Drosophila melanogaster: one gene and its partner. The protein of the gene in region 1 interacts with the protein of each later gene in a pairwise test. Each region holds a gene or a part of one and is shown on either strand. Other genes may lie near its edges.

Region 1 (12,682 bases):
TCTTAACATTTAATTTTAAGAGAATTTGTATTTTTTGTAAGTTTCATTTCCGTTCGCTTGCTTGCCCAACAACAAGTACAAACGCAATATGCTTCAATGCCGCTCGGTTGCAGCAACAACAACGGTGCTAGCAGCAATGACAACAACAGCTGCAATAGCAAGAAACTATTACATTAGACCAGGCCATAAACCATGATGGCCAAAATAGCCACCTCCCCCCCTCCACCAACCTGCCACTGGGCAATCAGCAAACCCTTCTGCTTGAAATGTAAATTGAAAATAATTTTCATTTTCTGGCTTTTTCCTTGCCATCGCCACTGCCCCTTTGACTGACCGACCGGGCCAGAAATCGGTGCTTCTTTTGACCCCATTCTGTGGCTTGACCTCTCGAGCTTAGGTTTTCTCATGGGGCAGCAAGAAATGAATAGGAAAACATTTGCAATTACAAATAACCACATTCTCCATTTTAATTATTAAAATAATTTTTTATATAAATAGTTACCGCAAGCCCTTTTTTACATTTATGTTTTAGTTTAACCAGCGTAACCTATAGCTAAATGGAATATAAGAATCTAAAATGAAATTATACGTACATATATAGATCTTAATTATATTTTTTACAATTTTTTTAAAATGTGAAGACTTATTCTGTCTTATAAACATTTTGCTTTCCGCAGAAGATTACTCACATGTTTTTTTTTTAATTTTTATAAAAAAAGTAAATAACGTATTGCTACACACCAGTTTAAAACCGCCTGATATTTTCGAGCTAAAAAATAGTTATAAAAAACAGAATACTTTTTTGCTGTACATTTGTGGTGCGGCTTCTGATGTGTGTCGCCTTGGTTGCGGAGCCCATTTGACCAAAAAGTCATTCTCACGCCCAGCTTTCGGCCAGCATTTGACCTTTTTACGGTAGTTTGTTTATGGCCTGGCACTGGGTTTTGTAATACGGTTGCTGTTTACCTTTTCGGCCATAACACTTTTTTTTCTTTTTTTAAAGTGGGCTCGAGCGCAACAGGCGGCTTTAAGCCGGACTTCTCGCTCTGCTTGCAGCGACCGCCAAAGTGACAGATCCTTCACCAAATCACCAGAGTTCACCACTGTCACTGACACACATATCTGGTAACATACCTATTCTTCTCCAGCTCCAGTTCCAGTTCCACATCCAGTTTCAGTTCTTTTTGTCGCCGCAGAAACCAAAACTTTTGACCATAAAACGCCCGGTAATGCCCCAACTTGTTGCCGTTGACTCATGCCGAGCGCTAAAAACAACATAATTATTGTACATATTAAAGACTTGATGTATGTGCGCACCAAATTGTGGACTAAACGACATGTGGTATACCCTAAAAAAAAAACAGATTAATTCATTAGGAATTTACTCGTAATCATTATTCATATAACGTATGAAACGTAGAACGTATGCATGTTGTATAAACCAGAGATTCCTCTAATGGTATGATATATGATGGTATATATATGGTATATGATATATGTTTACTCCCTTATCGAACAGATATGTTAAAGCTATCAAACTGATAAGTATATTAAAACTGATAAATATTTCAAGGTGCATAAATCGATTGAATTGTTTATATTAGCCTAACTACGATGGCTTGACCAAAATCACTAATAATTAAATGAAATTATAAATTGATTAAATTCGAATACAGTTCTCGAGGTTTGTTTTTCATTCGCTGTAATCCTTCAAGTGTAACAAACTCCATGGCCAAGTGGAATTTCTATGTTATTTCTGATTTGCTTGGAAAAAAAAGTGACACCAACATGCCAGAAAAGTTAATCAACCTCCCATAAGAACAACGCAAAATAAAAAGAAGCAGAAGTAATTAAACAAAAAAAAAAAAACTGCGATACAATGCAGAGCAAGAGCAAGACCGAAACCAGTTTAGGTGGGCTAGGTGGCTATGCTATGGTACGGATCGGTATGGTAGCCGTGCCCCAAGATGGATGAATGGATGGCTGGAGTGCCGAGCTCAACAAGAGCGAGAGTGTAAGACAATAAGGCAGCTCAAGAACACTTGATTGCAGGTGAACTGCAGCATGGAAACCGGAGATGAACAGAGCCACGAAGAATTCCAACCAGATGCCCCACAAATGTTCAAAGGAAGACACGCCACTAACCCTTCCTCATTAGGCAGTGCGGCAAAGTTATAGTTATAGATCGATCTGCGCCGGAAGCACGGAAGTTTCACTCACTGGCCAGCGAAAATCAAGTAAAACACAAAAAAGTTAGTTACGCCTGGTTAGGCCATCATCCGAAAGCTCAATTTGGTAAATGGCCAAACAGTAGCCCATACAGTAGCCCAACATAAACAAGCGGCCACGCAACATCAACATTATGGATGGATCTGAAGGCGGAGACGGTGATGGTGATGGCGTTGGCCACCAAGAACAATGGTCTGGTGTCGGTCTGAAGCTCATCTTCATCTTCACTTGGCCCGGCCACTTGAGTGTCTTATTGTGCATGTTGTTTGAGAAGTTTGGCGCTGGGCGGTGAGGAGCCGGCATGACTCTGGTTTAGTACCACGCACTAGACGGTCTGACCATGTCTACGGCCCCCTCTTTAGAAATCTTCCTCACTTGGATGCACTGGAAACATTGGGGTCACATACTTGTACCTATTTTCATTTTCAAAAGCAGAATGTGCTAGAAGTATGATTATAGGGTATGTGATAGAATATTTCATTTTCATAACTGATTTTCAGTAATTAGTACTGATCTCTAAATAAATTTTAAAGATACATTTACTTTGAGCTGTATAATATATAGATTAAATTCAGATGTTAATGAAACAATTTGAATATTTTTTACAGCTTGTAATTACTTCCTTCCGGAGCACTTTAGCTTTTTAACATAGACCATGTCTACGGCCCCCTCTTTAGAAATCTTCCTCACTTGGATGCACTGGAAACATTGGGGTCACATACTTGTACCTATTTTCATTTTCAAAAGCAGAATGTGCTAGAAGTATGATTATAGGGTATGTGATAGAATATTTCATTTTCATAACTGATTTTCAGTAATTAGTACTGATCTCTAAATAAATTTTAAAGATACATTTACTTTGAGCTGTATAATATATAGATTAAATTCAGATGTTAATGAAACAATTTGAATATTTTTTACAGCTTGTAATTACTTCCTTCCGGAGCACTTTAGCTTTTTAACATAATTTCGATGCCTAGAGCAAAATGACCGCGAATCTAAAAATTTGAAGAAATAAAGTTCCTGCAAACATATACCCATTAATTGCTTAGTGTATACCCATTGTTATTGCCATTCTTGGGTGCCCATTGTTTGTGTTCTTGTCGTATGTAAATTTTGCATTGAAATGTGTACGCTTGGGTACATGTGTGTATGCACGTCGTGGTTTTTGGAGGTCCAGGTCTCTGGCCCTCCTCCCTTTTGGCCACGCTCCCCAGTGCCCCCCTGCCCCATTCGAAACGTCACTCCGTTTCATTATTGTTCACTTGGCCGCTTTCGTAAGTCGGGCCCAATGCAAAACAAACGGCGAAGAGCAGTCAAGAGAGTAGAGCCGAATCAACCATATGTCAGTTAAAAGGGAAGGAAGTCGGAGCAAAAGAGCGCCAAGTGAAGCTTACCTTTGGAGCTGTGTTTTGGTTTTACCAGGGTTGCCAGGTAAGAAGCGATTTCATGAAAAATTCATCCACAATGCTAAGGCTTAAATTATTTCCTTGTAGATTTTAGATCTACATTTTTAAAGTAAGATTACTGCAAAATCTCTGTCCAAAATAATCCAAGTAATCATGACATTTTATTTTTAGGTTTGGCTATCGAGATTTGCCTAATACGATATGCCTATCAGTAGCTGAACAGAAAACCAGTTTTCCAAATGTTTATTGACTTAAAGAAGATATCTTAGGCCATAAATAGTCTATTATCAGTTATCTGCGTCCTAAATTGCAATTTGCTATCTTAGTTGCTTTGTAACCAATAATATTACTCGACTGCGATTATCGCCCCTGCTTCGTTGCTATTATTCGACAACCCTGGTGGAACACTGGTAACTCTCTTTGTTAACCGCCACCTAAGAGAGCCAACCGATGTTGTTGGTTGTTGTTGCCAAGATACGAGGCTTAGCCAGTCGTTCGTCGTCGTCGTCGCTTGGTTACTCATTTGTTTTGCCAATTTTCGTAGCACGGCGGCCTCAGCGCCATTCAGTTAGTAACGAACGTTCGCGCCAGACACACGTATCCGCCACGCCCCCGCGAAGCCGCCCTCTGAAAAGCTGGGGAAAGCCAGAAAATCGTAACCGAAGCGAAGCGAGCGCGCGTTGTACGGCATCGGAGAATCCGAAAATCGGAGAATCGGACATCGGACATCGGAAGTTCTGCTTTGGAGTGGAGCAGCGTCGTCGTGACCGAGGTTTCTGCCCTCATACATATACGGATATAGTTAGCTATATATATATATATACAAATAGTTTAAAAGATATATAGGGCCAGACTGTAGCGCGCTTGCGAAAGTGGAAAGTATCTGCTGGATACTTTGGATACTTTCCGTTTTGGGGGAATTAATTAGACCAATATATCCCATGCAATCCGCGCGTTATTTTTGTTGTTTTGTCAATAATAATGCCAAACTCTGGCCAAAAACGGCATATATAAGCGGAAATGCAAAACAATAATACCAACAATTTGAGCCAAATCGGTTGTGTATTTGTGAACTGTGCTGTCTGTGCTGCTTCCAAAAAAAAAATCAAAATAAAACGAATAAAATAAAATAAACACAAAGCGCACATAAATAACAAAATAAGTGTTGGCTAAAAGCTTAGCCTGAAGCGTATTATACATTTTAACAACAGTTGCTGTTGCTACCAAAAGCAGCTAAGCGTGAAGTGCTTGCCAAATGAATTTTCTATATAACAAATGAAAACGGCTAAAAAATATATATAAGTTTAAAAAAACCGGACCAAATTTTAAACGAGATCTGTGGACTTTGAGAGATTCTAGCCACCTTCGTTTGGCTCTATTGTTGTGTTTAGTTGGCCGATAATGTTTTAAAAATCATTTAACATTAATTGTATATATATTTGGGTATTTCGAAATTTAAACCTAGAGCGGAGACTCATACTAAACTCATTGGTACATCCTCGCTAACTAAAGCAACCTCTGTAAATAAACTTTTAATACCCTTAAATTTAATGGAACTACTACTGAAGTTCTTTTTGGATAATCTGCCTTAACAGCCTTATAAATATCCACCCACCTGTATAAATCCACGCATGTCAATACGCCCCCCAATCCGCAAGAAACTTAAACCCTATTTGATATCCAAGCCGCATGAAGCTTAACTAAAGACTAACTTAACCCTCTTGCTTAACACTGTAGTTATATGTTATCCCCCCCCCCCTGCCCAAAACACCCCTGACCCTAGCAAAACCAAAAACCGAAAAAAAGCCCCAATAACAAGTAACTAAAAACGTGCTGGCAAACGCTCAACGTGACCGTCGCTCCTTTTGGCCAACGATTAGACCCGTCTTGGCGGGCATACATATATATATATACCACATTTAATGCTAATTCTCATTACGGCTGTGTACTTATACTTATATATCTAACCGAAATCAACTGCAGCTCAAACACATCAGTCGCTTTAACCACGGGTCTGCTCTCTTTTGGGAGCAGCTGGTGTCCATGGAACTATGCTCGGATATATCATCGTATCGCCGCGCCAGCTAATGCTAATCCTACGACCAGATCAGAGCCATCTGAACACCTAACCAACGATAAACCCAACTACCAAAATTGTGATCTCTGCATCGCACTAAAACCTAAACTGATATTAATTGCATCCAACTTACTGTGCGTGTGTGTGTGTGTGTTATGTCTGTAAATTTGGTTCGTTGCTATTATCCGTACCCGTAATATCACGTACACACCATACCACACCTACCCGCCTGAAATAAGTCCAAGCCTGCCCGCTAACGATCATGCATAAACCAAAGCTAGCGAATGCTATAACCGCTGCCGCCATTGCCTCATCCATATCCACCAAAAACAACAACAACAACAGCATCGTCGGCGGCAGCAGCAGCAGCAGCTCCGGTGGCAACAAATCGAAGCGACCACGTCAGTTTGGCCAATACTCGATCGGAGTTGGAACTGGAGCTGGAGCTGGGGGGCTACTCCGGTCGGACGACTCCGGCTTCGACCACCTCGACTATTCGTCACTAATTGGGGATTCGATTGATTTAGAGCACTACATCAGCGCCATGGAGGCACGTCGACACGACCAGGAGCCGGATGTTTGGGCCCAGCTGCAGCAGAAGGAGTCGGACATCCTATTGGCCGCCGAACTGGGCAAGGCACTGCTCGAGAAGAACGAGGAGCTGGTCAAACAGCAGGAAAAGCTCATCGAGGACTATTCGAGCAAAATTGAGGTGAGTCATGAAACACATATAAAGTTAACAGGTGGAATTGCCATTATAAATGGCAAACAATTGAAATGGAAGTCAGTTATTTGGGGGAAAGGAAAATTGGTTAGAATTAAAAGAAATTTAGGAAGAGGACATATAGCTTGGAAGGTACTTTAGTGACTTAAAAGATAGGCAATGCATATTATACTTTAATACACTTACAATTTAAAAGATCATAGAGATGATAGTTATGTATCTCTTGAATATGGTTAAGCAGCAATTTAAAGAATTGGGAAATGAAAAAATTAATTTTTGTTATGTTTTCTAAATGAATGGAAGAGATCTAAGCACTCTTTATTATTAGTTTAATGATATCTTGCTTATTGAGGGAATGCTTTCATGTTCTTTTATCTCTATTCTCTATCTGATTTACTAAAGTGTGAGCAATAAACAAAATAATCACTTTGCTTCTATCTCTATATTAGCTACCAATTGTGTGAAACCAACATTTGTAAATTCAGACCCATTTATTATTTTCCCTTTTTAAGCTCCCTACCTTTTCCTCTAATGATTTCTTGAACAATCTAATAGTTATCTCTAAATGCCGGCGCATTTATCAAATCGGCAACGGCAGTTATACCTGAGTACCAGAATTTTGATTGACTCACCTGATGATTTGCATTGATTATTGGCGGACATGTGTTCGTAAATGACCCCCTCTATTGACGCATTGCTGGCATTCCCAGGTCGGGAGAATTAAATAATACATATACAATATGGATTTTTTTCGAGAGCTGAAACACAGCACCTGTCCAATGCAGCTCTGTAAACTGAACACACAAACTCCCCAAACTGTCAACTGCAATTTATATTGTGGGGTGGGTTCTTTAACTATTTAGACAAACAAAAATGGTTACAGTCATGTCACTTTATGGACGATGACATACTGTGTGTGTGTGTGTGCGCAGTAAACTACTGAACTATATAGTGTATCACGTAAGGGTATCGATTTTTGTTCCATCACAAGTTCTACCCTACACATTTTGTATGAAATAGCTGAAGAGCTCTTCTGAAGTCTCTCTAAAAATTGGCTTTATCGAGCACTTTCCTGATAACATGGCAGGAAAAGCAAAGTCTGTTCACAACACCTCCAAATGTTTCCAAAGTCTATGTCTGCCGCCCGACCTTGAACCGCTCGAATGGGTGGTTTCTGTGTGGGTGGGTGCGGTTCGTTCGCCTGTCACCTGTTCACACACACGCACACACACACACACTACAGATACTTCCAGGTAACTGACAATAGAAGAAATAGAAGAAGATAGGTAAACATAAAACACCCGTTCCAGCAATCGCTCCAAGTGAAGTTCAAGCCGCGGCTCAAGTTCGTGGCCGTTCACATTAGCATATTGGTTGCCTCAAACTTAGTTACCTCGCTTTTCCATCCTGAACCGATAGTTAGGCTAATGTACTTTTGTTGACCGACCGGTAAACAACAATGTATTCTTATCAATTAGGCTTCAACGCCGATTAATGGCAATTCAATGCACGAAAAGAGAACAGGAAATGTGAGGATGGTTTGGGGACCACCTGATGGTGTGAGTAACCCAAACAGAGGACACAGCAATGCGTTGAACTTGAATAATTTCGTTGGTACATATTTTCCGTGGGTTTGGGCCATATTTACGTAGTTGGCTTAGTCACTTTAACTGGGTTTTGTATTCTCCTTTTTTTTTTTTTGCTTTTGTAGTTAAGCACGTTGAGTGACTTCATCTTCATTGAGAAATGAAAGTGCGAAGGCCAATTGCGGGGGGGCTAGTCGCGTAATATCCTGGATATTTAGTCAGATGATGTCATCGTGAAAATTTTGTACATATGTTCGAGTCTTTTTGAGTCATTTTTGATATGCAAAAACTTTTGTGCAATGAATTTTTTATTGAAAATCGAGAACAACTCCATTGCTTATTAAATTTATATGCCCTCATTGAGTTTAAAACCAAAATTATACAATATATATGTATACATTATACATTGTAAATATCAAACTAAGTTCAATAATAATAAAATGCTCTCTCTGTTCGAGTTTAGTTTTTACGTGTCTTCAAAGTCTGTGTTTTAATCCCGTAAAATTCCCATTAAAATAATAGTTTGCTTGCTCACCTCATGCATTCCATAACCATTAACAATTTAAATGAAAATCGCTTGGCACCCGAAAAAACCATTAAGTTTATTATAGAGCGCTCCAATTTAAAGCCGAAAAGTGAGAAATTCCCATGTTCCATTTTCCATTGGCCATTAAATGGAAATCGCTTTAGACTAATGAAATTGGGCCAGTCCAAAAAAAAAAGGTTAACACCTGACAGTTGAACAACGCCAATTGTCGCTTTAATTATTTGCTTGTTTCTTTTTTTAATAACAATTATTGCTTAGGGAATTCTGGCGTGGAGCTGCCGCATAAATCTCTTGAATTTTAGTCACCTTGACTTTACCTTTTAGTCTTTGTTTAGCAAAGTGACGTGAGCCACATTTTCGCTGGATTCACTTTTATTTGCGTGTTTTTGGCAATATGCAAAATGGCTGGTCGCGTATCTAATTAATTTCTTCAAAAAGTTATGGAGCGCACAATGTCACTTCGCTGCTTGGATGGATGAACCAGTGGTCAGCTAAACCAGGCCCATCCCATTCGTATACTATATAGTATTGTATACTATATGTGGTCGGTCTGCGATTGACTGACGTAATTAGACCGCTCGGTTGTAGGTGTTTTGGTTCTGACCAAAATGGCAGTAGTTTTGGTCGGACTTGTTGTTATTGCCGTGGTCCGAAGCTCGCCTATTTTATTTTATTTCGCGGTCTGTTGAAGCGTGTGTGCCAATTTACGAGCATTGGCTTTTATTTTTAGCCACGATTTGTTTTTGCATTAACTTTTATATGCGCCATAATATAATATGTATATGGTTCTATGCCCTATTCCCACATGCGAACCAGTTCAGAGGCCTTGGCTTGATTAGTGCTTATTTTAAGGGATTTTCGCCAGAGAATTGGTATTAGGATTACTTGGAAAGGTGGGAAATTTATACAGTTAAGATGTATTTATGGGTTTATTTTAACACTATACATATATGTAGTCTCACACTTTTCAACCTCTTCAATTTCGACCGTAACAGCTTTAACCTATAAATAGCTCGCTCGAAATCGGTCTTTTATTCTCAATATGTTCTCAGCCATATTTCATTTCGCTTACAATTTTTTCCAAGCCCACTTCATATTATCTAGTTCACAGACAATCGACCAAATAGTTGACCATTGTCTGACTACCAAAACGTGTTCGCTTCGCCCAGGTTCGATTGCAAGCCCAGTTTTTTTTTTTTTTAACTCCCGAGTCGAGGAGAACAATTGAGTGGAAATCAATTGGAATCTGGCATCCCATTGTAGCTCGCCTTAAGTCGCTCGTTTATCACGATCTGCAGACAATTGTTGCTATTACTGGTTAGGAAATTTAAGCCCAACTTGAACGACGACGAAGTGTTGCAAATGGCAGTCGAATGTAAAGTATATAATTTGAAACGTAGGCGTCTGTTACGATTTAGGCATTTAAATAACTCAAATCGGCTATCGGCTTAAACCCCTTTGGCCTTTTCGAAAGTCTACACCCCTGAGTTTTTTGTTCGCCCGGCTTTTATTGCTTTAATAACTTTTGCTGTTTGTTTTTTTTTTTATTTTTATATATTTCTGACATTGGCCAACTGGTTTCAGTAATTTATTTAAGAGCTCTTAGTAGAACGGCAACTCACAAACGTTCTCTGGCAATTTGTTCTTTGATCAATTATGATATTAAATTGAAACTTTCAGCCGTTTCCCCGATCAAAGAATGCTAATAAAAAGGTAATTTCATTTAAACGTTCTTTGATTAACCTTGATGATCGTAAACAGGATATGGTTAACCATAGAAAATGGAAGTGAAGATCTATGGTTTGTGGCTAATGAAAGGAAATTCTGCGGTATTCTTAAAGTCTTATTTACATACCATACTGTAGTTTCACTTAGAATGAGATGCGGAATCTATGATTGGAGAGATTTAATGCTAATTGATTAAAAACACTTCCTGAAGACACTGTAATTATTTATAATCCAATAAATGTAAATTTAAATATATATTTAAGTTGTAGAAAACCCAACAAGAAACCAAAAACTAAAGCGAAATCTCCAGTGAATGCACATTTCCTTGTGTAACTTTAATAAACCTCAACAATTAAAGTTATATTTATATTAATTTCTCTGCCAATCCAAATGATTCATGCAAATGAACGTATCTTCCGCCTTTCGATCGAATCACACACCCACAATGCCCATCGCTTCACTCAAATGAACTGACCATACCAGGTGGGCGGACTTCTCGAGGCGCCCAAGAATACATAATGGCCATAATGGTTACCTCTCAATCGAAGGCACCTCTGCTGGACGCCTACTTCATCTATGGTTAGATAACCAAACGCGTTCTAGCAATAAATAAAGAAAAGTGCGACCAGGGAACCCAAAAATAAAACTTAATCAAAATGAAACTCTTCTCACGTTCGTGGATCAACCATTTTTCTTTTTTTGGACTGAGATGAAGTCATCATCAACACATTGTCGAGTGCTGCTGTTATTGTTGTACTATTTTTTTGCAAAAAAAAATTCAAAATCAACCAATTTGCATGCGAATAATACGGGTTTATATAGCCAGACATATATACATATATATATATCGCCGCGTGTCCATCTCATTTGCTGAAAACCAGTTTGATCGATCTTCGAAACAACAACGAAAAGTGTTGATTTTTTGTAATCTTCTTTGATGAGTCACAAAGCGATTTTGAGACCGAGTGGAGCTCATTTACCTGCTAAGCATTTCTTCGAGTACCCCCAAGTTAACTCCCAGTTCACCAGTTTTTGGCCTCGTTTGCCGAACAGGTATGCAAATTTATACGTTAACAAACAAATGGTGTGCCTTAATTTTGGTTTGGCCGAAATGTTTTCAGATTTAAGGTGGACAAAATGCTGGGCTCTGCTCATGAATGGGGGTGTACGATCTGGGGTTGGACCCCCTTTTTGCTGGGAAATTGAGGTCGTTCGACATAGTGTAGCACGATTATTATTGGACATTAGTCGCCAGCGTCACCCTATTCGCATTCGCATTGGCTCTTGGCCAGTAATAGCATTTCTTTGGCCATGTTGTGTGGATGGATGGATGGATGGATGGGTCGGCAAAATGTCATGGTGAGTGCTTTGTTTTCTACGCCACCTTTTTGCCCAGGGAAATTACTTTCCTTATTGGTCAGGCCATAAGCATTTTCCTTCCACCTTCTTCGTTTCGCTTTTTGTGTCATCAGGGAAACATGAGTTTTTAATGCGGATTTTCCGAGACCATCTGACTTTGTATTTAGCCTCATCAGCTTGTAATGAGCTTTATAGAAAGTATAAAAAAACGAAACTGTAACAAGCGGGGCTTGAACTGCTACATTACAGGGTTTCCAAGAATATTAGATGCATATGCATATAGTGCATTTTATTATTGGCTTTCGAGTTAGTTAACAAATTTATTTATTTATTGCATGTTATGTAACTTCATGTTTGTTAGCAAATCCAATCTAATTGTCACACTACCTGGTCATTTGGGTCTTTACCATCTTGACCGCGACTCTTGGTGGGTGGAAACGGGAGGCGGAGACCTTCAAGCCATATTCACGATCAACTAACTGTTGCCATTCATTTCCATGTTAGTTAATCGACATGCCGAGCAGTTGGCAGGAAGCAAATCCAGTTCAAATTATAGTTGCTATTGATGCAGGCTTTACATAATAGATTTGATGGTTAACTGTGGCAGAGTCCGTGAGCAAACCGTACCGCCTCTCACTGTCAAAGTCCATTGATGTGCAAATTATGGCCAGCAACTGAAAATTAATAACAGCAAGCAAATTAATTCGACTGACAGCTAAATTGCGAGTATTAACCATCGGGCGGCGTTCCTCGACTTTGACTTTGGTCTCTTGAAGATGGCTAAGTATGAGACTACCGCAACAATGCGGCATCTTCCATAATTCCATTGTTGTTGTCATACCTGAACCTTTGTACAAACATATTCATATGTAGGTACATATGTTGCATGTGTATAATTTTATAAAATTTATTTCTTCCATCTTCGTTCCTACACACACACACACACACCGCTGATGATGATTTTTAATGAATTGCTGAAGGTGAAAGCATTTTCACTTTCCAAAAGCAATTTTCGGTGTCAAA
Region 2 (4,082 bases), 4.6 Mb from region 1:
GGGCTGGAATAAAATGGGTGCCCACATGAACAATATAAACTATGACTCGCAGAGTCTTAGCTTCGCCTATATCGGATCGTTTAAGACCATCCAGCCGTCGGCCAAGCAACTAAGTGTTACTCGTCTTTTGCTGGAGCGTGGCGTAAAGCTGGGCAAGATTGCACCAAGCTACCGATTTACGGCGAGCAGTAAATTGATGCCAAGTGTAACCGATTTTAAGGCGGATGCGCTCTACGCAAGCTTCGCCAACTGGACTCATTGGTCGTGAATAGGTTAAGAGCTATTTCGATATTTTGCAATACTATCATTTATTTTCGTATTGATTTTGTATCATAGGTGTTCTCCCATTAATGTGTGGCATATTCGATTTAGCTAGAGTAACGATTCGTTTAAAAAGAAAATGTGATATTAAATAAAACAAAATGATTTACTTGATGAATTTCAATCATGTATGGGGATCAAGAACTAGCTGATAACTGGAATCGGGGAATTTCTGTAGAGGTGCTGTCTGGAACTGCCTGAAACCGGAAAAGTTGTAATATGGCTTGGCTTTTCTACGCATTCTTCCACCTGCGAGTTATGGGGCTTCCCCGATTATTGGAATTTTTAATTTCTTTCGCGACTATCTTAAAATTATTATATTATTATATTATAATTATTATTTTATACGGAGGTTAGTTTGCCTGGAGGTTGTTTTATCCGGACGTTAGTTTGCCTGCGGTTGTTTTATCCGGAGGTTTATTTATCCGGGAATCATTTTATCCGTTTTTATCCGGAGGTTAGGTTGCCTGGGGTTGTTTTATCCAGAGGTTAGTTTGCCAGGGGCTTAGCTTTCCTGGGCGTTACTTTATCGGGGGTTATTTTATCCGGAGGCTCGTTTGTTAGGGGGTTTGACTGGGGGAGTGTATTACCTGGAGGTTCATTTAACCCGAGGTTAGTTTGGCTTGGGGTTATTTCATCTGAAGGTTAGATCGTCTAGTGGTTATTATAGCAGGAGGTAAGTTTGCCTGGGGGTTTTTGTGGCTGGGTTTTGTTTTACCAGACATTTACTATCCGGAGGTTAGTTGGTCTGGAGTTCAGTTTGGCTGGGATATCTTATATCTGGCAAATATTTTATCCGGAGGTTGTATAGGCTCCATTTTACCTAAGTTTTAGTTTGTCTGTTAAAGAAATGTTTGCTAAATTCGCTTTCTTTTTCTACTTATCACGATCTATCTGCGTTCTATTTATGACAAAATAAAAACAGAATAATAATCGTGAAGAACTCTTTTTGGGTCAGTTGATCAAATCGCAGCCGCTAACTGTAGTCGGTCACTCATTCCAAGAAACCGGAAAACATCATAACTTCGGTCCAAAGATGAGCTAGCTTCTTTCAAAAACGCTAAGAGTAAGTATACGCCCCCTTGACAAAATGGGATTCCCATTTCTTGGACTGCTCACTACCATCAAATATCTCTTTCTAATCTCAAGTGGGCGGCGTTCAGAGATCGCGCACCCTGTTGCAAAAATGGCACCCTATATTAAGCTTTAAAAAGCTTTCTTTAGTTATACATACATATATTTATTTATAGGTATGAATATCTCTTATCAACAAGCTTATGAACTGCGCAGTCGCTTTAGGTTTTCAAATGTCCGGGGATTTTTCGGAGCCGTCAACAGAAATAAACAACAACCGGACTTGAGATCGGGTGCGTACTCACTTCAGTTGGCATCGGACGTTCGTCGTGCGAGGATCGATCGCGGTTGTGGGTAGTGCGATATAGTGAAAACATCTCAAGATGCCGAAAACAGTGGTAGTTACTCACCCAGGAAAACCGATAAATAACGAGAAAAGATTTCGCTTCGAGCTTCTCTATTTCTGTGTGATTCTTCTAATGGTTGTGGGTTTAGCAGCTGGCTATTTCATGTGGATGATGTGTGAGTCATTAAAGCGAATCGTAGATTGAATACAATTTAATAACCAATAACCAATTGTTAACCTGGTTTAGCCTTCTCCACACATTCGCCGAACAAGGGCCTACACATACTCGATCGCAGCGAATGGCTGGGGGAACCACCCAGTGGGAAGTACCCGCACCTTAAGCTTCCCGTCTCCAATATTATCATTCATCACACGGCAACCGAAGGATGCGAACAAGAGGTAAGTCTTACTTTGGGAATTTTAAATTGTTAATATCAAAGTGATATAGAATTGCTTTAAAGCTAACTTGAAACCAGTTTGTTTTACTTAGCTTACTGCGGCAATTACTTAGGATTCATGAAAAGGCTTTATTGTAACCAGTTGTTCTTTTCTTATCTACAAAAATTTATATAAATAATCAACCCAAAACTTTTCCTAGAAAGCCTCGTAAAACCGATATTATAATTCAATAGCTTGCCATAAAAAAAAACCCCCGCTTTGAGTCTATAGATCGACATACTTTTCGGTAAAAAACCCCCATTCTTCAGCACTATTTCGAGTTAATTAAACTTTTCTAAAAGTTAGCGGTTAAAAGACTGTTTACTTATGCATAAATCTTATTTCTATCTCGCCCAGGATGTTTGCATATACCGCATGAAGACCATTCAGGCGTTCCATATGAAATCTTTTGGTTGGGTCGACATTGGCTATAACTTTTTGGTGGGCGGCGATGGTCAAATATACGTAGGACGCGGCTGGCACATCCAGGGTCAGCATGTGAATGGATATGGTGCCATCTCCGTTAGCATAGCCTTTATCGGAACTTTTGTGAATATGGAGCCACCAGCTCGACAAATCGAAGCAGCCAAGCGACTGATGGACGAGGGCGTACGTCTCCATAGATTGCAACCGGATTATCATATATATGCCCATCGACAATTAAGCCCCACCGAAAGTCCTGGCCAGAAGCTTTTCGAGCTGATGCAAAATTGGCCCCGATTCACGCAGGATCCAACATCATGTAATGCAGTTGAAAGAAAAAAATACGAGAATATATTTATTTTCAAAATTTATTTTCAGTGCGACTCCTAAGCAATGAGACTGTAAAGATCGTTACCCGACCCTATTGGTTGGCCCAGCCACCTATAGTGCCACTTACTCCTTTGAAGCTGCCAATTGAGAGCGTGAGATTTGTGGCAACCAACACGCCATCATGTTTCACTCAAGCCGAGTGCACTTTTCGAGTGCGCCTTCTGCAAAATTGGCACATCGAGAGCAATGGATATAAGGATATTAACTATAATTTCGTTGCGGCTGGGGACGAAAACATCTACGAGGCCAGAGGTTGGGATCACAGCTGTGAACCTCCAAAAGATGCAGATGAACTAGTCGTGGCCTTTATTGGTCCATCGAGTAGCAATAAAAAGATAGCATTAGAACTAATCAAACAGGGCATAAAACTTGGTCATATAAGCAAGAACTATAGTCTAATTGACGATTTAGAAAAGTCATAGAAAACTGAAAGCAAGGGGAATGAAACTTGGCTAGTGCCATTCCTGTGCCATTTTTCAAAGTGATATTAATTTAAGACCTAATGTTAAGCATCACAAATATCTCACATCCAATAGGTGACAATCTCCTTCGTATTTATAGAAATAAACATGCCTTTATTGAGTTTCAACAGCTGCTATCTTTTATATCTCATTTGAACGACTACAACTAACATTTTTGAAAACATATTGCAATTCGATTTTGATTAAAAACCCTGACTGATTTCTACTTAACGATATATACAGATGACACACTTTGTGCTTACAACAATTGGCTAAATGAAATTCGTTATTGGAAATTTGAAACGCGAACATGGCTACTACATAAAACTTAGACAATTAGACTACAGTTAGTGAGACGATATCCAATTGTACAGGATTTGATTTAGTGGTCCAAGATGCGCATATTGCCAGATACAATCTTGTTCTCCAGAATGGCTCCAGCTGGGATATCGATACGATCGCCATGGTTAGCAATGATGATCACAGTGCCCTGCAGAATCAAGTTAAGACATGTTATTAGCGTATTTAAAATACCATTCAATATTATTCAAACTTACGCGCAAAGAAACGCCACGACCGAAAGTCACATCTCCGCTCACGGTCAAGTGATCCAGCTCAATGATGTCCGG

Evidence for each region.
Region 2: the proteins of CG32137 (region 1) and PGRP-LF interact in a two-hybrid assay, tested with the Drosophila melanogaster proteins (one large-scale study listed by BioGRID).

The regions. Positions count from the first base shown.
Region 1 is NT_037436.4:13,935,049-13,947,730, forward strand, and holds the start of CG32137 (uncharacterized protein), read left to right. Parts: upstream 1-4,201; 5' UTR 4,202-4,410; intron 4,411-5,621; 5' UTR 5,622-5,977; coding exon 5,978-6,427; intron 6,428-12,682. UniProt on the Drosophila melanogaster protein: Functions redundantly with BicD. Involved in formation and/or development of mechanosensory organs during metamorphosis.
Region 2 is NT_037436.4:9,347,908-9,351,989, forward strand, and holds PGRP-LF (peptidoglycan recognition protein LF), read left to right. Parts: upstream 1-1,701; 5' UTR 1,702-1,778; coding exon 1,779-1,917; intron 1,918-1,988; coding exon 1,989-2,140; intron 2,141-2,536; coding exon 2,537-2,921; intron 2,922-2,959; exon of another isoform or gene 2,960-2,980; coding exon 2,981-3,414; 3' UTR 3,415-3,582; downstream 3,583-4,082. Other genes in the region: PGRP-LC (peptidoglycan recognition protein LC), read left to right, coding at 1-268; UGP (UDP-glucose pyrophosphorylase), read right to left, coding at 3,836-3,943, 4,011-4,082.